Linked DNA regions of Macaca mulatta. The protein of the gene in region 1 binds, or shares a complex with, the protein of each later gene. Links are inferred from orthologs where the notes say so. Each region holds a gene or a part of one and is shown on either strand. Other genes may lie near its edges. The genes, in order: PPP1CA, WDR82, TOX4, CDCA2, MRAS, PHACTR1 and PPP1R7.

Region 1 (4,102 bases):
GGTAAAAGAGACGCCACGGTCGTTCTCGCCCCAGCCCTGCACGTCCTTGTCAGGGTCAGACCACAGCAGGTCACACAGCAGGCCCTGGTCAGGCACGTCTGTGGGCCGCATGATCCGCCGAATCTGCTCCATGGACTGCAGGTCCGGGGAGAGGCCTGGAGGGCCAGAAGGAAGGTCACTTCCTCAAACAAGGACATCCTTCCTCCAGGAAGCCTTGGCCAGTGAGCCTCACCTTTTCCACCACCCTCCTGGTCCCTCCACTGGTCTCCTGGGTGCCTAGGCAGGCAGAAGCCATCCCCTTCCCCTCAGCTTTTTCAAGTTCCCAAACAGGCACAAAGGCGCCCCTGGCCTCCGGAGCACAGAGCTCCTGGGAGAAAGGAGACAAGCCCGCCCCATGTAGGATGCACATCAAGGAAGTGAGTGCAGCCCAGCACAGGGGGGTATGGGAGACACTTCCTGAAAGGAGTGACTTCCCAGATGACAACTAAGGAGAGCTCACCTCCGTGGCAGCAAAAGATCTTTTCGTCCACTATGGCCGCAATGGGCAGGCAGTTGAAGCAGTCAGTGAACGTTTTCCACAGTTTGATGTTGTAGCGTCTCTTGCCTGCCCAGAGGGAGGTAGCTGTGAGGGGTCTGCCTGCTCCACCCTTAGCCGGGGTCTCTGGGCTATTCAGCCGCAGATGGGAGAGAGTCAGGCACCAATGCAAACCACCCCCACCCCTGCCGCCTGTCAGCCTTCCAGGAGTAATTCTAGTTACTTTTTATTTTAATTTGTAATTTAAACAAACAGGATCTGGGCAGGGCATGGTGGCTCACACCTGTAATCCCAGCACTTTGGGAGGCTGAAGCAGGCAGATCACCTGAGGTCAGAAGTTCAAGACCAGCCTGACCAACATGGAGAAACCCTGTCTCTACTAAAATACAAAAAAATTAGCCAGGCGTGGTGTCGCATGCCTGTAATCCCAGCTACTCGGGAGGCTGAGGCAGGAGAATCGCTTGAACCCGGGAGATGGAGGTTGTAGTGAACTGAGATCACACCACTGCACTCCAGCCTGGGCAACAAGAGCGAAACTCCGTCTCAAAAAAGTAAAGAAACAGGGTCTTGTTCAGTCACCCAGGCTGGAGTGCAGTGGCAAGATCATAGCTCACTGTAACTTGGAGCTTCTGAGTCCAAGTGATCTTCCCGCCTCAGCCTCCCACCAGAAGTAATTCTAAAGCACCCGAGTCCACTGGAAACTGAGTTCCAATCTGGACCAGCCTCAGGGTTGGCACTCCTTGCACGCCCCGGCCCACGAGCCGGGCCAAGTACAGGTCTGGTTTATCTCAGCTTCTGGACAGCAGAGCTCATCTGCAAACATCCTAAATGCTTAGTAGCAAATGTAGAGGGAACGTCACCAGGCAGGGCCCTGGGGGAAAGCACTAGAATACGGACAGTCCTTCAGTCAGCAACCATTCCCCAGACCCCATGCCAGGAGGGGCAGGGCAGGCACAAGAACGGACCTGGGCCCTGCCTTCGTGGAGTGCACAGTCTAGCAAGTGTCTGTCAGATATCAGGCCAATGTGAAGGTCCCACTGAATGACAAGGAGTGTGGTTCAGGACCCGGGCAGCCCCAGACGCTCAGACCACTCACACTCATCGTAGAAACCGTAGATGCGGTTGATGCTGGCGCACTCGTGGTTCCCACGGAGCAGGAAGAAGTTCTCGGGGTACTTGATCTTATAGGCCAGCAGCAGGCAGATGGTCTCCAAGGACTGCTTGCCCCTGTCCACATAGTCCCCCAGAAAGAGGTAGTTGCTCTCCGGAGGGAAACCGCCATACTCAAATAGTCGCAGAAGGTCATAGTACTGGCCGTGTATATCACCTGTGACCCAGGGAATCGGGTAAGCTAGATGCAGGGTCTAGACCTGAACCCAGGACCAGGACTGGGCTCAAGGGAGGAGGACTCCAGGAACTCTGTGGGGGCCAGTGCCACTTTCAGGAAAGCAAGGGGACCTGGGTCGGGGGGCTCACCGCAGATCTTGAGGGGTGCCTCCAGCTCCAGAAGAATGGGCTGGCTCAGGAAAATCTCCCGGGATTTCAGGCACAGGCCGCGGATCTCGTTCTCTGTCAGCTGTACATTCTTGCCAGGCCGCGAGCCCTGCACTGGGGGCGCAATGGGGTGTCAAGACCCGGGACCCTGACAGGTGGAGGGTGGGCGACACGGGTGGCCCCATGGATACCTCCGGGGGCGCCTAGGCCTCCTCGGCCGCTCCTTGCCCGCAGGCAGCTGTTGCTGCTGAGCCTCCCGGGACCTCGGCCTCAAGCCTCCCAAGGGAAGCCCCCAACTACCCTCAGCGCCTCGGGAGGCGACTGTCGTGCGCAGGGGGCTGCCACCCAAACACCTCACAGCGCAGGACCCCTTCCTGGACCGGGCTTCCCGGGTTTCTCCCTCGCCTCAAGAACCCAGGCAACCCGTGCGCCCCCGGCCCGGGAGAGGGGGCTGCTCCGCGCGTCGGAGCGGGCCCAGGACCTCTCAGGCGCGTCCGCGGGGGGGCGGCTGCGGCCACCGAACCTCGCGGCCCGTCCCCGCCCAGTCTAAGCTGGCCCCGGGGGCCCGCCCGCGCGCCACTTCCGGGCCCGGCAGGGGGCCCGGGAGCGGCGGACGCAGGCCTCCCCCGCCGCGACCAACCTTCTAGCAGGCGCCCGATGATCGAGTCAAGGTTGAGCTTCTCGCTATCGGACATGGCGGCGCCGCCGCTCCAGCCCAGCAGCTCCGGGCCCGCTCCTGCCTCCCGCCCTCCGGCAGCCTCCTTCCGGCCTGGCTCTCCTTCCGCCCGCCCCAGTCCGCCCCCGGCCCGCGGCCCCGCCTCCGGGCCTCCCGGGCCCGCCCCGCCCGGTCCCCCGCGCTCTAGCGCCCCCGCTGGACGTGAAGCGCCGCGGCCTGGGGGGCGGGGCCTTGGCGGCGGGGTCTGTCGGGGGCGCGTCCAACTGGTTACGCCCCAGAGGAGGCGCCCAGCCCGGTTCAGAGGATGTGGGGCCGGAAGAACTGTGGAAGTTGTTTTTCTCTTTCAAAAGCAGAACAGCCGTTCCCACCCCTGCCCTGGGTGGAGGGTGTTGTGAATATATTAATAACCGGCTGCTAGGCACTGAGGGTTAACTGCTCGAAGTGCAGGAAAGGAAACTGAGGCTCAAGAGATATGAACAGACTGGTGCAAGACCTGGACCTCGCATTCACGTACGACCCCCTTTTTCGTGGGTCTCCGTGGCCCCCAGGCGGCTGACCACACTCAAAGACAGCTACGGCTGAACTTCCAGCGCACTTTGGTCCTTGGGGCATGATAAATTAATATTTTCTTACAAGTCCCATAATTAGCTTTTATTTATTTATTTTTTTTGAGACAGAGTTTTGCTCTGTCGCCTAAGCTGGAGTGCAGTGGCGCGACTTTGGCTCACTGCAACATTCGCTTCCCAGGTTCAAGGGGTTCTCCTGCCTCAGCCTCTGGAGTAGCTGGGATTGCAGGCGCGCGCCACTGCGCCTGGTTTTTGTGTGTTTAGCAGAGGTGGGGTTTCGCCATATTGGCCCGGCTGGTCTTGAACTCCTAACCTCAAGTGATCCACTGGCCTCGACCTCCCAAAGTCCTGGGGGGGTTACAGGCGTGAGCCAACAAGCCTGGCCCCATAATTAGCTTTTGAGTAGCACAGTAATATTGCAGGGTGTGCACGTAAAAAGAATTACTATATGAGCAGACATGGCTGGGTGCAGTGGCTCACGCCTGTAATTCCAGCGCTTTGGGAGGCTGAGGTGGGAGGATCGTTTGAGGTCAGGAGTTCAAGACCAGCCTGGCCAACATGGTGAAACCCCATCTCTCTAAAAATACAAAAAGTTAGCTGGGCATGATGGCAGCCGCCTGTAATCTCAGCTATTGGGGAGGCTGAGGCAGGAGAATCACTTGAACCTGGGAGGCGGAGGTTGCAGTGGGCCAAGGCCCATTGCACCCCCTAGCCGAGGTGACAGTGTGAGACTCTGTCTCAAAGGAGCAGACGATAAATTAACCTTAATTCTTGTTGGAACCCTGAGTTGGGTGCTTTACATGCCAGTAACCTCAGAACTGGAGGTGGGCC
Region 2 (3,033 bases), on another chromosome or scaffold:
CTCCATGTTGTTGCACGAGGCAGTACTTTATTACTTTTTATTGCCAAATAATATTCCAGTGTATAGATATAGCACATTTGTTTGTCCATCCATTAGTTAATGGACATTTGGGTTATTTCTACTTTTTGGCTATTATGAATAATGCAGCTCTGAACATATGTGTACATTTTTGTGTGGACATGTATTTTCAGTTATCTTGGGTAAATACCTAGGAGTGGAATTTCTGGGTCACATGGTAACTCTTGTTTTTTTGGAAAAACTTTTCCAGAGCAACTGTACCATTTTTACATTTTCATTAGCAATGTATGAAGGTTCCAATTTCTCTATGTCCTCACCAATACTTGTTGTCTCTCTTTTTATAGCTATGCTGGAGGGTGTGGAGTAGTATCTCATTGTGGTTTTGATTTGCATTGGAATCATATATTTTTATTTTGTAGCTTTATTATTATTTTTTTTTTTTTGCATTATACTAGTTGTCTTTGTTCCAGATATGGTTGTGGTATGTGTGTTTTAGTGTGCTTCTTAAAATGGCAATTTCAGGAGAACAGATACATATATATAGGCAGAGTGGTTTAGAATTCACATCCAATTTTTGCTAATATTTCGCATCAACTCCTATTTATCTCGATGTATTGCAGGGTGGTGGCCTTGTCCATGTCACCTGTGGATGACACTTTCATTTCTGGGTCTCTAGATAAGACCATTCGACTCTGGGATCTCCGGTCTCCTAACTGCCAGGTAATGGTACCTCACAGTTACGCTTTTTGAGCATTTTCTATGGTAGGCCCTATAATGAACTCTACCTCTCAAAGAAGGGAGAAAACAGTGGTTCCATTCTGGGATCCCAGGGTCTTTTTAAATTTTGGAGAAAATCTGTTTTCTTAGTTGGTAGCTGCTAAGCAAATACCCTAATCTAGTGCAGATTGCATTGTACTCTGTGGCTTGTTGTGGGGTTTTTGTTGTTTTGTTTTGTTTTTGTTTTGGTTTTCGTTTTGAGACCGGGTTTTGCTGTTGTTGCCCAGGCTGGAGTGCAATGGTGCGATCTCGGCTCACCGCAACCTCCACCTCCAGGGTTCAAGCGATTCTTCTGCCTCAACCTCCCAAGTAGCTGGGATTACAGGCATGCATCACCATGTCCGGCTAATTTTGTATTTTTAGTAGAGACGGGGTTTCTCCATGTTGGTCAGGGTGGTCTCCCGACCTCAGGTGATCCGCCCACCTTGGCCTCCCAAAGTTCTGGAATTGTAGGTGTGAGCCACTGTGCCCAGCCAGCTTAATGTTTTAAAAGTGTTCCTAGAGCTTTTAGCTTCAAGGGATTTATTTTTATTTGAATTCTGTGTCTGTAATATTGTGCAGTTAGAGTTGATCAGAAATTATCTGGAGACCTGTTTTTTAAAAGCTTCATTTTAGTTTTATGTTTGCTTTTTCTGTTCTGTAGGTAGACTGATATCTGTTTGTATGCCTTTCTTAGTTTTAATTGGGACAAGTAAATTATATAGTGGTAGGGTCCTGGATTCATTTTTTTCCCCATTGTACTAGCAGTCTTTGGTTGTTCCAGGTGTGGTTGTGGTATGTGTGTTTTAGTGTATTTCTTATTTCTTTTCTTTTAGGGCCTCATGCATCTGCAGGGGAAGCCAGTTTGTTCTTTTGATCCAGAAGGGTTAATTTTCGCTGCAGGTGTCAACTCTGAAATGGTCAAACTTTATGACCTTCGTTCTTTTGACAAGGTAAATCTTTGAATCTTTGAGCTATCTTAATATTATGGTGAAATAGACATGTAACTGCTTTTTTTTTTTTTTTTTTTTTTTTTTTTTTTTTTTTTTTTGAGACAAGAATTTTGCTTTTGTTGTCCAAGCTGGAGTGCAGTGGTGCAATCTCAGCTCACTGCAGCCTCTGCCTCCCAGGTTCAAGTGATTCTCCTACCTCAGCCTCCCAAGTAGTTGGGATTACACAAGCCCGCCACCACGCCTGGCTAATTTTTTGTATTTAGTAGAGACGGGGTTTCACCATGTTGGTCAGGCTGCTCTCAAACTCCTCACCTCTGGTGATCCACCCACCTCAGCCTCCCAAAGTGCTGGGATTACAGGCGCGAGCCACCACGCCTGGCCCTGTAAGAGCATTTTCTACAAAAAGAAAAATATGGTAGATATTAGAGAGTGGCAGAGAAGTAGCTCATTCTCTGCTTTCCTTAGTCAAAAAGGAATCTAAAGGAATAGGATGGGAATTGGCTCTAGCAGAAGAAATTGTTAATATGCCTTGGGCCTGGGGCTACTATTTTTTATCTTTTGCAGGGGCCATTTGCTACCTTTAAGATGCAATATGATCGAACTTGTGAGTGGACAGGACTTAAATTCAGCAATGATGGCAAGCTCATCCTCATTTCCACCAACGGCAGCTTCATTCGTCTCATTGATGCATTCAAAGGAGTGGTGATGCACACGTTTGGGGTGAGCTGATGGCCTTCAAGCATGGCTGTTTCCATGCTTATACTTCCTATGCTAAGAATTATGTTAGCTGGTTGGTGGAGACCAACAGTTACTCTTGACTTACTCATGAAGGCATGCACTTGTATTTTTTCTTCCTGCTCATTGAACTTACCTCCCTTGGATTCTGTAGACATTCATTTCTCACCAAGTGACCCAAGTTTGGTATTTAGATATAAAATAATGTCCTAAAAATAAAGTTTTCTTGCTCCCTTGAGTGTACCTTGAATACAGAGTTGAAGGTGGGAGTGGATTGTCAAGGATGGCAACCACATTTGGAAGCTTGGTGGTGTAGTACATGACAAGGAAAGGGTTTCATGGAAAGGAAGGTGATGCATGTGCTAAGTTAGTGTTTGTAGGCAGCTGTTTTTATTAACGGCTCTGTAACAACAAAAGAACTGCTCTGTTTTGTTTTAGGGTTATGCCAATAGCAAAGCTGTCACACTGGAGGCTTCATTTACTCCAGACTCTCAGTTTATTATGATTGGTGAGTTTCCTTTATCCCCTGTGGGGGTTATTTCTCTGGTACTATGCATTTTTTTGTTTAAAT
Region 3 (3,500 bases), on another chromosome or scaffold:
ATGGTTATTAAGCCATTATATGTATCAGGCAATGTGCTAAGCTTTTATGCATGAAATCTCACTTATCCTAATAATAACCATATAAGGGGATTACCATTGTAATTCCCATTTTACAGATGAAGAAAACTTGTTCAAGGTCTTGTACCCAGGTCTCTCTGATAGCAGTCTCTTGCTATTATTTATAATTGTCTATTGTTGCAAATGCCACCATTTAGATTTCAGTGTCAAAACAGAACCATAGCACTTAACATATCTTAGATCATATCTTGGTCTGTTAGCTGCATGAGTGGTGGCCTCATTCAGAAGAGAAAGAATGTATTATTATTGACCTAGTTGGACTCACAGGAAGAGATTGGGTCTTTAGCCAGCTGGAGTAATCCTTTTCCTCTCTTAGAGAGAAGCTTGTTCAGCAAGACTAGCATTTTTGGCATTGTTGAGGTTTTCTGAAAATCGTATACAAATGGGAATCTTGGTCGGGCGCAGTGGCTCACGCCTGTAATCCTAGCACTTTGGGAGGCCAGGGTGGGTGGATCACGAGGTCAGGAGATCGAGACCATCCTGGCTAGCACGGTGAAACTCCGTCTCTACTAAAAATACAAAAAAATTAGCCGGGCGTGGTGGTGGGCGCCTGTAGTCCCAGCTACATTGGAAGCTGAGGCTGGAGAATGGCCTGAACCCGGGAGGCGGAGCTTTCAGTGAGTGGAGATCGAGCCACTGCATTCCAGCGTGGGCGACAGAGCGAGACTCTGTCTCAAAAAAAAACAAAAAAAACAAATGGGAATTTTTAGTTGTTAACATTATAATTTCTAAAGTGGAGAAGAAGTAGGAAACTCTAAGTGCAAATATTTTAGAGGGGGATAAAGTTTCCATGACAGTACATTTTAGCATCTGTTTGAAAGGAACCTAAAACAACAAAGTACAATTGGCTGGCTGACAGCAAATTTCTGTGGCCTAACAGTTTAGTTGTAATAATTGTGAAATAACTGCTCTATTAGAATCTTTAGAGAGATTTCAAGGATCATAGTAAGCAGGTTATAAAGGCTGTATTCTAAGTAATGGTACTGGAAGAATTTTTCATTAGAACAATAGGCATAATTTAGGACAAAAGAGTGGTAATGGTAGAAAAGAGATAAAAGAATTGAAAATTGTGACTGATGTTAGCAGCCTTGAATGCACCAAGTGACCAAGGGTATCAGAAGAGAGATTGGTAAAAATAATAGGTTCTAAGAAATTGATTATAAAATAGGATCCTAAGCAGAAAAAATGTACCCTGAGAATCTCTAGTACCCCATTATGTTCTTCACTTAGTAGTATGCCATTTCTCCTCTTTTCGCTAATTCTTTTCCCCCTTTTTTCCCTACAGACATTCCATACACCAAGCTTGGGAGATGAGGAATTTGAAATCCCACCTATCTCCTTGGATTCTGATCCCTCATTGGCTGTCTCAGATGTGGTTGGCCACTTTGATGACCTGGCAGACCCTTCCTCTTCACAGGATGGCAGTTTTTCAGCCCAGTATGGGGTCCAGACATTGGACATGCCTGTGGGCATGACCCATGGCTTGATGGAGCAGGGCGGGGGGCTCCTGAGTGGGGGCTTGACCATGGTAAGGGGCAAGAGATTGTCAGGCTTACCCCAGCTAACAGGCATGGCATTAGGGGAGACAAAAGTTACTGTATTCCCTACTACACTTGGGTATTACTTGTGTGTCTTCTTGTGGCTAAAGGCTCACCAACAAAGACTTAGTTTCACCTGAATAAATGAAATTTACCATGTAGGTAGATTTTACTTGAAAAATAATTTAAAATTGTACAATGTCTGGTTAGAAAATTATTGTGGTTTTTGGGAAAGTGTTTTCTGCTTTTATTATGACCTTCACATCCTAGGATTCAAATTTGAATGTGATAGCTGGCACGTGGAGGGATTTATTAAAAAATGGTCTGAATCATGTTGAGAAGCCAGCAGATCAGAGCTTTTTTTTAAAAAAAAGGTCTGAGTCAAATATAGTATTGTAGATTACTATGTAATATAAATCAGTATGTTGGGCTTCTGGCACATGAAACCAGTAGCACATCTTCACACTCTATATTTGATGCCAAACTTCTGTAATATTGGCCTATTTATGCTGACTGCCTGTGTATTATTTTAAAAGCTATTATTTTGGGAGGGTACAGACAGGAAGTTTTTCTTTACTCAATGTGTTGTCCCTACTTATAGATTACTGAGTAAGTTGATAGCTCTTTAACTTCTCCAACAGTATGACTTCTCTGATTATTTTTAGTTCTTCTTTAGAGTGCAAAGAAGTAAATTCATTAATTTCTGTACTTTTTAAAAAAGCTTATGTTTTTATTTTCAGTTTTGAAGACTATTTTATGTTTTGTATTTTAAATGATACAATCTGGGTAGGCAGGGAATTTATAAGCTATCTTAAATTTAGGGGGGAAAGTGGTGTTTTTTTATATTTACTGTTTAATTAGTCCTTCTGCTTCTCTCAGGACTTGGACCACTCTATAGGAACTCAGTATAGTGCCAACCCACCTGTTACAATTGATGTACCAATGACAGACATGACATCTGGCTTGATGGGGCATAGCCAGTTGACCACCATTGATCAGTCAGAACTGAGTTCCCAACTGGGTTTGAGCTTAGGGGGTGGCACCATCCTACCACCTGCCCAGTCACCTGAAGATCGTCTTTCAACCACGCCTTCACCTACTAGTTCACTTCATGAGGATGGTGTTGAGGATTTCCGGAGGGTGAGGCATTCCCTGCCAAAATCAATTCTGCTGTGATATTCTAGGATAAAATTCTTGGGATACAGAGCTTAATCAGTATTCTTTAGCCTTACCATGCCATCTCCTCTGCTCTTTTCTGGGTATGGGGTTCCACCTACCAATTTCCAGTTTATAATTCTCTCAATCCCTATTCTTATTGGTTCTCCATACTTGACCAGTGTCTTTTAACGCTATTTCCATGATTTTTAGCATTTCTGAAAATTCCATACATGTGGCTAGTTTCCAGACATAATACTTGTCATCATCCATTGTGTAATTCTTTTTCTCTCTTAACAGCAACTTCCCAGCCAGAAGACAGTGGTGGTGGAAGCAGGGAAAAAGCAGAAGGCCCCAAAGAAGAGAAAAAAGAAAGATCCTAATGAACCTCAGAAACCAGTTTCGGCATATGCTTTATTCTTTCGTGATACACAGGCTGCCATCAAGGGACAGAATCCTAATGCCACTTTTGGTGAGGTTTCAAAAATTGTGGCCTCCATGTGGGATAGTCTTGGAGAGGAGCAAAAACAGGTGAGCAAATGTTAAGGAACTAGTAGTGAATGTTCCAAAAGTTTTTAAAGAGATAAAAATAGAGGTTTTCGGCTGGGCGCGGTGGCTCAAGCCTGTAATCCCAGCACTTTGGGAGGCCGAGACGGGCGGATCATGAGGTCAGGAGATCGAGACCATCCTGGCTAACACGGTGAAACCCCGTCTCTACTAAAATATACA
Region 4 (3,012 bases), on another chromosome or scaffold:
GCGTTGTGGCACGTGCTTGTAGTCCCAGTTACCTGGGAGGCTGAGGCAGGAGAATTGCTGGAATCCAGGAGGTGGAGGTTGCAGTGAGCCAACACTGAGCCACTGCACTCCAGCCTGGGCGACAGAGTGAGACTCCATCTCAAAAAACAAACAAACAAACTAACTAACTAACAAACAAAAAGATATATATTTCGCATAAAATCCAACATACTAGAGAAGGAAGGTAAAGGAGATATAGGGAGATAGGAAAGGAGAAAGAGATAAAGGAAGGAAGGAGCTGAATTGCTTTAAATCCATGTAGCAGGTGATACCACTGGTTACAGATAAAAAATGCTTTAGGTATTTTTAAAAATAAAGTCTCTAATAGGATGCAAGATGGAAAATTTTACTACAATCACTGTTTAAAAATCTTTTGAAAAACTCCTGTTAGAACCAGAGATGTAATGAAAATAAGACTTAGTTTCCACTCTCAAGGAGACTGAAGTTTTAGGGAACAGGGGAACACAGAAAATAGATAATCATAAAACCAGGTGATAGAAGTATGTTGCAGAGTATTCCTGGAAAAACAGACAGTACAGCAAAATCTTGGAAGATAAGCAACATTAGGTCAGATTAAAAAGAGGTAGAGTGGTGGATGCCCTGTCGCAACACAGCCTGTGAGAAAGCATGGCAGGAGAAGAGTGTGTGCCAGGACATGTGCGACAGAGGGGTGGCTGTTTATTTAAACTCCTGTGCTACCCTAATGTTAAGCAGGACGCAGAAGCCAAGAGTCTATGGTGGCATGTACCTCATTCATCCTCAAGTCTATTATTAATCTTGTATGGTATTCTGCAAATAGGAGGCAGGCTACAAATATCTGATGATTGACAAAGGTAGTCATTTAAAAAATGATTCTATACAAATCAACACACCAAGTGGACACACATTATCATTTTCAGGCAAGACAGCGTGGCTCGTGTCTGTAATCTCAGTACTTTCGGAGGCTGAGGCAGGAAGACTGATTGAGCCCAGGAGTTCAAGACCAGCCTGGGCAACACAGGGACACCCTATCTCTACTAAAAATTAAAAAAAAAAAAAAAAAAAATCCTTATTATTTTCATCAAGATCCAGTACGTTTAAAATTTGGGCATTAGAAACCAGAAACAATTCCATTTTTTATCTACCCCATATATCAACTGACTTGATAATAAAATAACTTTCAAGGTAATCAAGCGCAACTTATATGTATTATTTTTAGAAAACGCTCAGTAGTGCCAACTCTAACAAAACATCCTTAACTCATATAAGGTATACATATTACTGAACCATAACCTCGTTCACATTTTTTGTTCCTTTTTTTTTAAAGACAGGGTCTTGCTAGGTTGCCCAGGCTGGCCTCAAACTCCTGAGCTCAAGCAATCCTTCCGCCTTAGGCTCTCAAATGGTTGGGATCACAGGCAGGTGCCCCAGCTCTCGTTCACTGCATCCAGCTCTCGTTCACTTTCAACGATGGACTACACCACCAAATGGAATTTATTTTCACAAAATGCTTTAAAAAGCAAAAGGAAATAGGATGCACAGAAATTATTACTGATATTATAAGCAAAATCTTGTGTCTTGGTTTTCCTGGGGAAAGGATCCAGAGTTTCCATCAGATTCTGAAAAGGGTCTAAGCCACCTACAAGTTAAAAGTGACTCTCTTTCCTCCACTAGAAATGCTCATGGTAATGTAAGGAAACGTTGCTTTTTAAATTTACGTACTCTTTACATAGTGAATGGGAAAAAAGTGAAAAAAGTAAAATAGCAACGAAGAAGGTGACGAGAAAAGATAAAATATAACTACCAGGAAAAGGTGAGGATACCTGAACCCAGTCTTCGGATGCTTGGAACTGAAGGTGTCATCTCAGAGACTTCAGGCAGCTCAGGAATAGGACTGAGGAGGGGCTTCTTAGAAGCAATGTCTCTTTCCCCATATAAAGATTTCTGAACACTTTTCTTTCCCTTTCCTTTCTTCTTTCTGCAACTTTTTAAAACCTGAGAAAATGCATTAAAACATTGCAATTGAGAAAGATGTAGCACCACGTAAAACTTTGACCCTTTAACTAGTTATTATTATTATTATTTTTTCAGACAAGGCCTGGATGAGAATCCAGGCTGGAGTGCAGTGGCACAATCTCGGCTCACTGCAACTTCTGCCCCCCTGCTCAATCAATCCTCCCATCAGCCTCCCAAGTAGCTGGGACCACAGGTGCACACCACCACGACCGGCTTTTTATTTTGTATTTTTGGTAGAGATGGGGTCTCACCATGTTGCCCAGGCTTGCCTCAAATTCCTGAGCTCAAGCGATCCTCTTGCCTTGGCCTCCCAAAGTGCTGGGATTACAAGTGTGAGCCATAATGCCCAGCCTGACCCTTCAACTTCTATAATATCTCTAATTATTGTTTATACAGTGCTTTATTGAATAGATCACTTTTATATTTCGTTTAAAATTGTAAGCATCTAAAACGAGGGTAGGAAGTCATGTAACTTCCACAAAGTCAAATAAACTACAAAGCAGGATTCGGTTTATAAATTGTATGGTAGCTTTCTACATTTCCACAAGGCACTTGCCAAAACAAGGGCTGGATAAATGAAAAATTATATGAGATGCTTTAGAACTAACTACATGAATGTAACGTCATAAGATATTTGTAAGCAGCACACAGTTATGATGACTCAGGATTAACCTAGTGTGAGTTACATACTGCAAGCTATGGGAGACTGCTTTATGCTCCTAGGTCTGGATGAAGAAACAGTAGGTGTGTATGTAAAATATGAAGAAAACACAAAGCTAGCTGAATCTGCAGATTCAAACAACAGATGATTTAATCAAGATTCAGTCAAAACAAAATGGATTTTAACAAGCACAAGCAGAAGATGGAAGACAAAGGTCTGACATTAATTGATGGAAAATGTAGGTTTCCATAAAAATTAAAAGTCACTTAATATATCCAGAATGGAGTATTACATTCAATTCTCAGTGCCATATCAGT
Region 5 (3,500 bases), on another chromosome or scaffold:
TTCACAACCAAGACATCACCATAGGCTACCTGATGGCAGCACGTCCTAATTGGAGGCAAAATGCCTAAGATAAAATAGTTTCTTTCCTTTTGTAAAGATGGCACTTCACTATGTTGCCCAGGCTGGTCTTGAACTCCTAGCCTCAAGCAATCCTCTTTCCTCCACCTCCACCTTTGCCTCTGAGTGCTGGGATTACAGAAATGAGCCACCACACCTGGATGAGAAAATCATTTTGAGAGTGCAAAACTGCCAGCCAGAACATAAAGTGAAGACTGTAATATTTCCTCATTATGCTGGGGAATAATGAGAAGATGAGCTTTTTAAGCATGTTGGGGGATGTGTGTATAGTGGGGGTTACAGCCCCGGGGCTGATCTCACAGCTCACCAGCAGCCCTTGGAGGCGCCAGCATACAGGCCACAAACTCAACGCACAGTGTCTGAGACCCACTGGTTAGGCTGCTGTGCATGTTGAAGAGTTGGGAAATGCGATAGATTGGTGACAGGAGATGCAGCCAGGAGGCTGTTTTAGTCATGAGTGCATGAGGTGATTAAGATCTGGACCCTGACCATGCAAAGGAATGTACAAGAAACTTTCATTAGGATTGCTGACAATACTTGGAGATTGACAGCTGATGGGGTCAGGAAAGGAGATACGTGTGCAATGCCTCTGAAATTTGAACCTTGGAATCAGAATATTGGTTGTTCAGGGGAAATATCAAAGGGTGCTCTGATATCAGGACATGGAAGAGGAGAGAGACCTAGTTTGTACGGTGTTGAAAGCTTTGGCGTGAGGAGAACACTGAAGCCAGGCTGCAGGGAGCTGCCTTCCAGGGAGCCTGAGCCGCTGCCTCAGACAGGAAGGCATTTCCACTTAGCACGTGCAGCAGACTTCACCCACAAACCCGTCAGCAGCTGTGGGGAGGGCAGAGGTGGGTGGAAAGAGCAAAAGAAAGAAACGGAAGGAGGGACAAGAAATCCAAACATAGGCCCAGAATTCTACAGTCTCATGGCCTCAGAAGAGGAGCTGCTTCCTCAAGCTCCCAGCTGCCTCCAGGAGCCAACCCATGCTGTGGAGGCCCGCTTCTAGGGAGGGGGCAGTGCTCACCTAATTACTCTCACGAGGTCATGGAAGGCTTTGTCGACATTGAGAGGTGGGTCCTTGGCACTGGTTTCTATGTACGGAATCTGGAAGGCAAAGCTCAACTTGGTCAAAGTGGCACAGAGATCCTCAAAGCCCCGTTCCACCCTTAAAAATGCTCAGAGGTTCTGAGGAACCCAGGTGCTTTCAAAACACGCCACAGAAGCCCCAGCCCCCAACAGCCTCAGGCATCACTTGGGGCTTCTCACTCTTTCAGGTTGGAAAGTGTTACTAATGGCTTTTCCAATTCCCTCTTGTTCTCTAGGCACAGAGATACTTAATAGCTCCCTAAAAATAGAATAAAGTGATCTTTTTACATACTTGAAGATGAAAAACTGTTTCATTTATTAAACTAAAATACATTCTGATTCTACCCATTTTTCTTTCTGAGGTCTGTTTCTCCACCTTGGGATGACTTCTGCCCCTCTTTCTGGGCCCCTCCAGAGTGGACACTGGTAGAAAAGGCTGAGGAGAGACTGGGCCATGACCAAGACTCTGGGCCCAGGTGACCCTGGCCCATCTGTGCTGGCCCCCACCCCGGCCCAGCTCTTGTTTGGTCTGTATCTATGAGCCTAGGAGCTCAGCCATGTTTACACAAGGTTTTTGTCTGCACGTTCAATGCTGAGAAATCATCACCCGGCCGAAAAGGTGCAGACAGCGGGAGATGTGACCATGGTGGCCCCACAGAGCAGGTTTCCAGGGCCAGATCTGCACCAAGCCTCGGGCTGGCAGAGGGAGGAGAACAAAGACTCTATGAGGTCAGCACACACTCACTCCTGAGCGCTCACCTTCTCCTACAGCAGGGACCCCGCCAAGGCAGGAAGTGTTCGTTCCCCAAAGGCGGGGAGCAGGGTGGGGAACACACAGGCCTCGCTTGATGAGACAGATGGAAGTAAACTGAGTGTGATTAGACTGAATAACTTGGTGATTTTTCATAAGTTTTTTCTGATTACAAAATTAATGCCTTTCATTATAATATGCTGGAAAAAGAAAAGCACAGTGGGGAAAAGAAAAATAACACTTCAAATGCATGGAGGAGGGTGACAGGGTAAGCTGTTGTTCTAGAGGAGTAGATTGTAAATCACTGCCCAGAACACAAACCAGTCAGTATCTTCCCATCCATCATCATCACGTGAGGTCAGATGTGCACACTTCTGCTGTAGCCAACAGACACACAAAGGGCAGAGCACAAAAGGCAGAGCTTAAGCCTTTGAAATATTCATTGGACAAATATTTGAGCCTCTGATAACACTAAATGGAAACTGCTCTTCATTGTGGGCTGTTTGGCTTTCCAGGTCTCACTATCCCTGACCTCATTTAGTCTTCACATTAACCCTCTGAGGTAAGCAAGTATCTCCATTCTGCAGCTCAGGAGACTGAGCTCAGAGTGACGCACTTGCTCAAGGTCAACAGCAGCCGGCAGAGCATCAGGGTTTGAACCGGGCACACTTTCCACTTTCTCCTGGCCCTGGTAAGAGGTGCTGAGGTCTGCTTTGGAGCCTCTTCCGGCTGGACACCAAATCCAGCCATGGCAAGTGCCCCTGATAAGTGGCCAGTACAGTCCTACGGGGCCCTTGTGAGTCAGGACAACGTGCTTCCCCGCACACACCCAGGGGAGGCAGGAAGGCACTGCAACTTGAGCTGGGACCTACCTGGAGCCCCTTCACATCCTGTACTCCTGCCGGCTCAGTAATGGCCCAGGCTCCAGGGCCTCAGACCACTGCCACCTGTGGTCCCACCCCATCGCTCAGAAGTCCCTGAGTTGTATGATCCCCCCCAGGTCCCAGACACCTTCTACTTTCTTTCTAGGGGATCTGCCTCTACCACTGAAGAAACACTGATGTGCATTACCTGGATTCCTGGAATTGCAGGATTTCAGCAGCAACAAGACTTAAACTAAGGGGAGCCCTTCAATAAACAATAGTTTCATTCCCAAAGACCAGGACTGCAGGGGTGACCAGGCAACAGCTTTTACACATCTCCTGACCCCCTCTACACACACGCACACACCTACATTGTGTTTGGTCGCCATTTCTTTTCCTTGCTCCCTGGTGATTTTCCTTAAGTGCATCAAATCGACCTTGTTGGCCACGAGGATCATCGGGAATGACTCCCTGGGAAACAAAGGAATAGCAGCTCTGTAAGGTTTCCACCACCCCTCACACCTAGTTAAGGTGGCGCAGCCACATCTCAGGCATAGCACAGTCAGCCTACAGCACCTCCCCAGTCAGCCTGGACTGCAGTCCCTTCCCTCCTCCTTTCCAGAGAGAGGTTAGGGTTAGGGGAAAGGGCCTGGGGGCTGCTGGCTGTCTTGGCTTGAAGCCTCAGGTCCACTGCAAGGCCAATGGTGAGGCCTCGAGGG
Region 6 (2,973 bases), on another chromosome or scaffold:
CACCCGAGTGCGGCAATGTGCCTGCATCCATGTTTCCTGCAACTCCTGGATCCAGGGTTGGTGATAATGTAGCCAGCCTGGGCCGTAGATGACTTCCTGCTGAATCATATAAGAAAACCCCAGGTCCCTGAAACGGACAGAGTGAAGGCAGGACTGTTGAGACTGTTGACTTCTATCGTCACCTACACATTAGGCTGAATCATTATTCCAGACTCTCTCTCTCTATATATATTATATATAATAAATATATATATTTATAAATATATTTAACAAATATACATATTTGTTATATATATAATAAATTTATATATATGTTTGTTTGTTTGTTTTTGAGATGGAGTTTCACTCTTGTCATCCAGGCTGGAGTGCAGTGGTGCGATCTTGGCTCCCTGCAACCTCCGCCTCCTGGGTTCAAGCAATTCTCCTGCCTCAGCCTCCCGAGCAGCTGGGATTACAGGTGCGTGCCATCACGCCCGGCTAATTTTGTATTTTTAACAGAGATGGGGTTTCATCATGTTGGTCAGGCTGGTCTTGAACTCCTGACCTCAAGTGATTTACCCGCCTCAGCCTCCCAAAGTGCTGGGATTACAGGCGTGAGCCACCGCGCCCGGCGCACAGACTACATTTTACAAAAGGCCCTTAACCCTCCAGCTCCTCATGGTGACCAGACTAGAATCAGAGAGGATTACCAAACAGAGGTTCATTCTGATGCCTCGTCTAGTGGACAGAGAAAATGATTTCTCATTGGCATCACTGCTTTTCCTAAAAAACAAACTGAACTTCAGATTATTCTTTTTGTTTTCTGAATCGGCGAGGGTCTAGTGCAGTGAGATATGTTTTGCGACGTCTCTTTGATTTGTGCCTATTTCTCTCCTGAGGTTACGTGTCCACTTTGTCTTTTCTTTTGGTTTGGTGAATCCCCCGTTGGATGCCGGCAGCAGTGTCCCCTACACGGAAGGACTGTGATGAGCCCAGAGCCTCGTGCCTTCACCTGTCTACGCCTATCCAGTGCTATTCTCGTTCTCTGGGCACAGCCTCCTAGGCTGCTGCTCCTCCTCCTGTAAAACGGGCACAGTATTATGTGCCTTGTGTTTTCTTCGATTCAGCAGCCTTTCTGCAGATTATCTGTGGCCCCTGGGGAAAGGTGTTGGGGTCCCAACACTCCATTACGGGAACTGCAGCTGAGGCCTGGATGCGGGTCTCCCTACACACTCCCCAGCGGTGAGCCCGGCGGGACACCCAGCAGATGATCTTGCCTCCCACTCTCCAGCACTCCCCTCTGCTTACTTTGTCTGCAGCAGTGAGGCGGGTCCACGGCTTATCTGCCCTGCGGTCATAGTCCTGAGCGTCAGCCACCTCCACGTAGTCACTGAAGCGGATGAGGATCTTTCTTTCCCGAAGCTCTTCCACGGTGGGCCTTTGACTGAGCTGCAGGGAGGGAGAGAGACAGACCCAGTCAGCCAGACGGGTTGACCATGGCACTCGGTCCTGTCTGTGAACTTGCAGGTGTGGAAAATAAGGTTCAGTGAGGCAATGGATGCGTTGCATAGTGAGTGAGGGGCAGGGGCAGGGGGAGGGCCGGGGTAGGGGGACCCAAGTCTCCTGACTCTTGGGACCGGGCCCTTTCTCAGTCCTAAGAGAGAGCTTTGTTATCCCTTACATACCCTCTAGGCCAACCTCTATCTTTTTTTTTTTTCAACTTAAAAAAAAACTTTTATTATGTAAATTTTCAAAAGAAGGAAGGAGACTAATATCATAAATTTGGTGTACTATCACCAACAATGATCGACTCTTGACTACATTCACATGTGGATTTCTTTGAAACAAATTGCAGGCATCATATCATTTTACCTGTGCATATTTCAGTATAGAATATAAAAAGATCAGGACTAAAGCATATTCACAATACTGTGTTTACACCTATACAAATCGATAGTAAACAGTCTCTATCTTCATGACATTGCTGAGTCCCAGTCGTTACTAGAAGCTTGTCTTTCTGTTTGGCTGTGGGCTCCTGTTGTGGATTTCTTCTTATCTGTCCTACTCCCGCCAGGTGACAGGGATATTCTACAATGATTCTGTCTTATTTTGGATTTGCAAGTCCACATCTGTGTGTCACATTGAATGCCTTCTGCAAGATGGGTTTGCAATACATTTTGTGTGTATTTTAGATGCAAAAAAGCGTATGTGAAAATGGTATGCAAACTCGGGGTATGTGGGATGGGAATCTGCTGGCTGAAGAGGTCAGCCCAAACGTTGGTGACAGCCCTCTGCAAGAAGTTCAAGGGGAAGGTCAGTCAACAAATGCGGAGCTGAGTAAGTACAGAAAAAGGCCACATTTATGCCAAAGGTGACTCAGGACCAGCCCTTTGGATGGTCCCTGATGAAGGACTGCAGGAATGAGAGATGAGGCAAGTAAAAGGAAGATTCATATGTATTTTGCCATCTCCCGATATTAGCCATAAGGACCCCTTCCTCTACTTTAGCAACACAAGGCTGACATTTCTATTATCTCTTCCTGTCACTAGGTTTATTTCTCCTGGAGCAACACAATTGCTGTCTTTAAGATGCTGTCAACTGATGTTCAACCAGTGCTACTTAAAAGCAATTTTCCCTCCAAGCCCTAAACGCTGTGTAATTCTATTATTAGAAGACACTGTCTCATAGAATCTTGCAACTCAGGCCCATAAAACAAACACAGTGGAGTCCAAACTACCCTGGCAGTTTCAACTCTGCAACAGGCAGCTTCCAGACACCCTTGGCTGGTGCGAGAATGTTCCAACTTGCTCCCATGCTGGCAGAGCACAATTAGAGGATGGCTGGCAGGTATCAAATAGATGGCTGGCAGGTATCAAATAGAGTGGTGACAGATCCCGGACAGGGCCAAGGCAGGCCTGCAGCTCCCTCTCAGCCAAAGGCAGGAATCTCTGGGGATCAGGGGCTCAGCCGCCTCTGGTGCCGTCCCCCCTGCCT
Region 7 (3,500 bases), on another chromosome or scaffold:
CCAGCTCTAGCATCTGTAGTTGATGTAAGTTGCTTAAGTTCTCAATTTTACTGATTTTATTGTTGACCAAGAAGAGTTTTTTCAGTCGTGTCAACTTGTCAACCCCTTCGATGTTTCTCAGCAGATTAAAAGAAATATCTAGAATCCTGAGAACAACCAAAACAGGTTTTTAAAAAAATTACATGAGCATAGGTTGCAGAGAACTCACAATTCAACCACCCTAAAGGTAGCACCCCATTAGGGGACTGCAGTCACTGTGGGACGGGGCAGGGTGGGGTGGGGTGGGGCAGGGGGTGCGGTCTGTGCCCCTGCTGCCGCCTGGCTCACACTGATGCTGTCATGAGGGATTTGGAGGCTGCCCAGGAGCCCGGAGCAAGCCAGAGGCAGCCTACAGGCTCCTGATGCCCTGGCTCCCAGGATGGTATTTGAGGCAGAAACTGTTACATTCACACCTGTGCCCATGACAGGACCTTGCACCAGGCTCTGCACACAGAAGGGGCCTGAGAAGTACCGAATTAGAAACAAAACAAGCAAAAATGAATGAGCAACAGAGGGCAGAAATCCAGGTAAAGTTATAACTAGGACCTGGCTCCTTCTTTTTTAATTTTAATTTTTGTAGACAGGGTCTTGTTATGTTGCCCAGGCTATCTCAAACTTCTGGGCTAGTGATCCTCCTAATTTGATCTCCCAAAGCGCTGACATTACAGGTATGCACCACTGCACCTGGCGTAGAACCTGACTCCTTAAATTATAAATGTCACTTTTTTTTTTTTTTAATTTAAAAAAAGAGTATTCAAAAGGCAAGAGGAAATTCTGGATTAACTTTCCCCTCGACCAATCTCAGTATCATCCCTGAATGGAGGCTTTTCCAGAAGTCCCCACTGCAGCCTTCCCATCAAAGGTTTACTTTGCAAGTCAGGATTGTCCAGGAAGCCGAAGACATGCGTGAAGCCAACGTGGCCTCCTGGAGCCCTGAACATGGCAGGCAGAGCCTTGGGATTCAGACGCAGGGCAGGACCCTGTGGCAGAGGCAGCCTCTCAAGGGCCAAGAGCCAGCAGGAGGGGGGCTCTGGAGAGACTGGACACCCCCACCCAGTGGCCTCCCCACCATGCTGTTCTCCTGTGGGTCTCATGACTCACTCCAGCTCTGTTAGCGCCTCCAGATTCTCAATCTTCTTGATCTGGTTGTCGTAAAGATCCAGCTCTCGAAGACTCTGTAGCTCCTCCAGATTCTCAATGCATTTAATTAAATTTTGGCGGAGGCAGAGAGTCTGGGGGATGGGAAAAGGACAATTGACACCGGCACGGGGGAGGCCACGAGAAGGCCTCAGCTGGTACTGGAGGACACAGGACAGGCCCTTCTGGTGGAAGGACGTGTCTTCATTCTCCTGCTGTTTCCTAGAAAGGTGCTGACCTTTGAGAGGTAGGTGGGCAAGGGCACCAAGCTAGAATTCCTCGACACACCTGAGGATGGGCAGGAACCCAAAAGGAAGCAGGAGGCAGGCCCCCCACCAAGCAGGCCTAGTTGAGGAGGGAGGCGTTGGCCTGGGGTATGGGTGTTTGCCACTTCCTGGCAGAACATAAGAACCTATGGTGGGCTCAATTTTGAGAAACAAATTCAGATGAGATGCACGGAGGACCATAAAATTCACTGAGTGCCTAATTGAACACAGGCACAGAACTGAGGCAGGCCAGAGTCACAGGTCACTGGCCGCCTGAGCTCAGGAGAGCCAGCCCCAGGGCTGTGCCTCAAGTCCCTCGACTGCTGTCTCACACTTGCTGTGCTCCCAGTAAAGGCCTGCTACAAGGTGGAGGCAGCCATGCCTCCCACAGGCTGAGACAAAGACCACAACTTGGGACTGATGGCTCGATTCTGGACTTATCCACATCCTATGGGTGATATGGGTCATAGTCCCCTCATAAGAGTCCCTCTCACCTTCACTTTCTTCAGTACCTCAAATCCTTCAATCTTCCCAATGCGACAGTGATTCAAATCAACATCCTGAAACAAAGCGGAAATGTATACTCGGCTATAGCAAAGTGGCTGGAGACCTGTGTCCTAGAAGAGGAGCCATCAGAGGAGGCCTAGGAGTGGGCAGCAGTGGGGGAGGCAGTGCCAGGTGGGTCTGCAGCAGACAGGTGTCGGTGACAAGGTGTGCTGCGGGGGCTCTTTGGTTTAGTGATGACTTAGTTTTATGTAAAACTGGCCCTTAAAATGATTGGTACATGACATCTTTTTCTCATTCCCTAGACCCTGTATGCACAAAACATAAGCTCAGGCTCTTAGGATATGCACCCCATCCCATCACCATCAGAGACACGCTGGGGGCTCAGGAGGCCCAGTGGCCAGGCCAGTCATACACAGCCTGCGGCTGTTGGGACCCTCATGTATAATGTAATCATCAGACCCAGAGAATGTATGAGTCAAAGGCATCTCATCTGCCACACAATCCTCAAGGGTCAAATAGACATGGGGATAACAATCACTGGTAAGAAAAACAACATGAACACAGGACTCTGATCCAACCAAGGGAGGCTCAGGCAACCTCTTTAGGGAAGTAACTTACTAATCTCATACAAGATAACCTGACAGGTGGTCCATCACCATGCTCAAGGCTGGGCTGAGCAGGCAGCATTACCTCTGCATCTCTGTCCAGGTTGATGGTTTCCATGTCCACAGGCAGCTCATGTTCTTCTGAAAAAAATTAGAAAAAGAGGTTTGTTCAGAACCCCATTAACAGGAGGCATTGGTGAAGAGCTGCTTCTGGCCGAGGTCTAGGGCTGTTTGGTGCCCAGATCCAGCTCAAACCCTGAGGAGGAACCAATGAGAAAGTTTGCTGAGGACCTGGAGAATGTGGCAAGGGTGAACCCTGCTCCAACAATAGTGATGTTTTAAGCATTCTGATTTCCCTGAATTCAGATATTGGCAAAGGTCTCCAAACATTCATCTGTGCCTTTGAACTTCCAGAGAAGGGAAATGTGTTTTGAAGCTGTTAGTGGGAAGGAGGGGAGGAAGTAGCTGAGTGCAGGTGAGCAGGGCAGCACTACTGCCTTTCCGTGACTCCCAGAGCCGCAGAACTGGCAGCAGCCTGCCTCCTACGTAGCTTTTCTCTGTTTGTTTGTGGCAATAAACCAGGCCATTAGAATCTAGATCGTGCTGGGCACATCAGATGCTCTAGGATGGGCCTTTTATCACTTTGGAAGGTGGCCCAGCATCTACAAACACTTCCCTCTGCAAAGAGCAAAACAAAACAAAACATAGTTCAACAGATAGGATCAAAGAGGCTCACTGAATAATTTAAACACACTTCTCAATGGGGAGACTGATGAACTCACTCCAGCAGAGAAGCCCATTGGATTTCACGAGGACTCTCCACACCGGAGCCAGCCTCCTCTGTGCGGAGGCAGAGAGAGCTGCTCTCCCTGCTGAGGCGACAGACTCCCTGTTAAGCACTTCCTCATTTCATTTCATTGGAACCTACTTCAGCATATGTGCTGAA

The links.
Region 2: PPP1CA (region 1) and WDR82 share a complex: the UniProt entries of both Homo sapiens proteins name them as parts of the PNUTS-PP1 phosphatase complex. The link is inferred for Macaca mulatta from reciprocal best matches to the Homo sapiens genes PPP1CA and WDR82.
Region 3: PPP1CA (region 1) and TOX4 share a complex: the UniProt entries of both Homo sapiens proteins name them as parts of the PNUTS-PP1 phosphatase complex. The link is inferred for Macaca mulatta from reciprocal best matches to the Homo sapiens genes PPP1CA and TOX4.
Region 4: the proteins of PPP1CA (region 1) and CDCA2 are in contact, whole or in part, in a crystal structure (PDB 5IOH), measured with the Homo sapiens proteins. The link is inferred for Macaca mulatta from reciprocal best matches to the Homo sapiens genes PPP1CA and CDCA2. Residues at the interface, in NP_002699.1 of Homo sapiens: Gln20, Gly21, Ser22, Pro24, Tyr70, Asp71, Leu73, Arg74, Glu77, Tyr78, Asp166, Lys168, Ile169, Asp242, Leu243, Tyr255, Phe257, Arg261, Pro270, Ser284, Glu287, Thr288, Leu289, Met290, Cys291, Ser292, Phe293, Gln294, Ile295, Leu296; in NP_689775.2 of Homo sapiens: Lys391, Arg392, Val393, Thr394, Phe395, Gly396, Asp398, Leu399, Ser400, Pro401, Glu402, Val403, Phe404, Asp405, Glu406, Ser407, Leu408, Pro409, Ala410, Asn411, Leu414, Gly417, Gly418, Thr419, Pro420, Val421, Lys423.
Region 5: the proteins of PPP1CA (region 1) and MRAS are in contact, whole or in part, in a crystal structure (PDB 7TXH), measured with the Homo sapiens proteins. The link is inferred for Macaca mulatta from reciprocal best matches to the Homo sapiens genes PPP1CA and MRAS. Residues at the interface, in NP_002699.1 of Homo sapiens: Pro178, Asp179, Gln181, Gln185, Arg188, Ile189, Met190, Pro192, Thr193, Pro196, Asp197, Gln198, Trp216, Gly217, Glu218, Phe225; in NP_001078518.1 of Homo sapiens: Val6, Pro7, Ile31, Gln35, Lys36, Ile37, Val39, Asp48, Ser49, Tyr50, Leu51, Lys52, His53.
Region 6: the proteins of PPP1CA (region 1) and PHACTR1 are in contact, whole or in part, in a crystal structure (PDB 6ZEG), measured with the Homo sapiens proteins. The link is inferred for Macaca mulatta from reciprocal best matches to the Homo sapiens genes PPP1CA and PHACTR1. Residues at the interface, in NP_002699.1 of Homo sapiens: Pro24, Arg43, Gln68, Tyr70, Asp71, Arg74, Tyr78, Arg96, Gly97, Lys98, Ala128, Ser129, Arg132, Ile133, Tyr134, Gly135, Tyr137, Asp138, Trp149, Lys150, Thr153, Asp154, Asn157, Lys168, Ile169, Met190, Arg191, Pro192, Thr193, Asp194; in NP_001309240.1 of Homo sapiens: Arg424, Lys425, Ile426, Leu427, Ile428, Arg429, Phe430, Ser431, Asp432, Tyr433, Val434, Glu435, Val436, Ala437, Asp438, Ala439, Gln440, Tyr442, Asp443, Arg444, Arg445, Ala446, Lys448, Pro449, Trp450, Leu453, Lys458, Ile461, Arg462, Glu464.
Region 7: the proteins of PPP1CA (region 1) and PPP1R7 are in contact, whole or in part, in a crystal structure (PDB 8U5G), measured with the Homo sapiens proteins. The link is inferred for Macaca mulatta from reciprocal best matches to the Homo sapiens genes PPP1CA and PPP1R7. Residues at the interface, in NP_002699.1 of Homo sapiens: Arg23, Pro24, Leu40, Arg43, Arg96, Gly97, Lys98, Ala128, Ser129, Ile130, Asn131, Arg132, Ile133, Tyr134, Gly135, Tyr137, Asp138, Lys141, Arg142, Ile146, Lys147, Trp149, Lys150, Asp154, Asn157, Pro192, Thr193, Asp194, Asn271, Cys273; in NP_002703.1 of Homo sapiens: Asn84, His85, Tyr86, Arg87, Arg106, Gln107, Leu109, Tyr128, Asp129, Gln131, Asp148, Ser150, Phe151, Phe170, Val172, Glu192, Gly194, Ser195, Phe214, Gly216, Lys217, Ser236, Gln238, Ser239, Tyr258, His261, Ser283, Glu300, Trp302, Asn304.

The regions. Positions count from the first base shown.
Region 1 is NC_133419.1:6,982,069-6,986,170, reverse strand, and holds the start of PPP1CA (serine/threonine-protein phosphatase PP1-alpha catalytic subunit), read right to left. Parts: upstream 2,801-4,102; 5' UTR 2,725-2,800; coding exon 2,670-2,724; intron 2,144-2,669; coding exon 2,012-2,143; intron 1,863-2,011; coding exon 1,632-1,862; intron 605-1,631; coding exon 500-604; intron 156-499; coding exon 1-155. UniProt on the Homo sapiens protein: Protein phosphatase that associates with over 200 regulatory proteins to form highly specific holoenzymes which dephosphorylate hundreds of biological targets.
Region 2 is NC_133407.1:115,789,816-115,792,848, reverse strand, and holds part of WDR82 (WD repeat-containing protein 82), read left to right. Parts: intron 1-638; coding exon 639-738; intron 739-1,610; coding exon 1,611-1,727; intron 1,728-2,291; coding exon 2,292-2,447; intron 2,448-2,900; coding exon 2,901-2,970; intron 2,971-3,033. UniProt on the Homo sapiens protein: Regulatory component of the SET1/COMPASS complex implicated in the tethering of this complex to transcriptional start sites of active genes.
Region 3 is NC_133412.1:94,349,340-94,352,839, forward strand, and holds part of TOX4 (TOX high mobility group box family member 4), read left to right. Parts: intron 1-1,363; coding exon 1,364-1,606; intron 1,607-2,495; coding exon 2,496-2,756; intron 2,757-3,071; coding exon 3,072-3,302; intron 3,303-3,500. UniProt on the Homo sapiens protein: Transcription factor that modulates cell fate reprogramming from the somatic state to the pluripotent and neuronal fate. In liver, controls the expression of hormone-regulated gluconeogenic genes such as G6PC1 and PCK1.
Region 4 is NC_133413.1:27,250,485-27,253,496, reverse strand, and holds part of CDCA2 (cell division cycle-associated protein 2), read right to left. Parts: intron 2,014-3,012; coding exon 1,842-2,013; intron 1-1,841. UniProt on the Homo sapiens protein: Regulator of chromosome structure during mitosis required for condensin-depleted chromosomes to retain their compact architecture through anaphase.
Region 5 is NC_133407.1:41,398,178-41,401,677, reverse strand, and holds part of MRAS (ras-related protein M-Ras), read right to left. Parts: intron 3,253-3,500; coding exon 3,153-3,252; coding exon of another isoform or gene 3,149-3,152; intron 1,186-3,148; coding exon 1,106-1,185; intron 1-1,105. UniProt on the Homo sapiens protein: Signal transducer in the Ras-MAPK signaling pathway that regulates cell proliferation and survival. Core component of the SHOC2-MRAS-PP1c (SMP) holophosphatase complex that regulates the MAPK pathway activation.
Region 6 is NC_133409.1:169,832,778-169,835,750, forward strand, and holds part of PHACTR1 (phosphatase and actin regulator 1), read right to left. Parts: intron 1,429-2,973; coding exon 1,288-1,428; intron 1-1,287. UniProt on the Homo sapiens protein: Binds actin monomers (G actin) and plays a role in multiple processes including the regulation of actin cytoskeleton dynamics, actin stress fibers formation, cell motility and survival, formation of tubules by endothelial cells, and regulation of PPP1CA activity.
Region 7 is NC_133417.1:146,428,249-146,431,748, reverse strand, and holds part of PPP1R7 (protein phosphatase 1 regulatory subunit 7), read right to left. Parts: intron 2,696-3,500; coding exon 2,640-2,695; intron 2,003-2,639; coding exon 1,937-2,002; intron 1,272-1,936; coding exon 1,141-1,271; intron 147-1,140; coding exon 1-146. UniProt on the Homo sapiens protein: Regulatory subunit of protein phosphatase 1.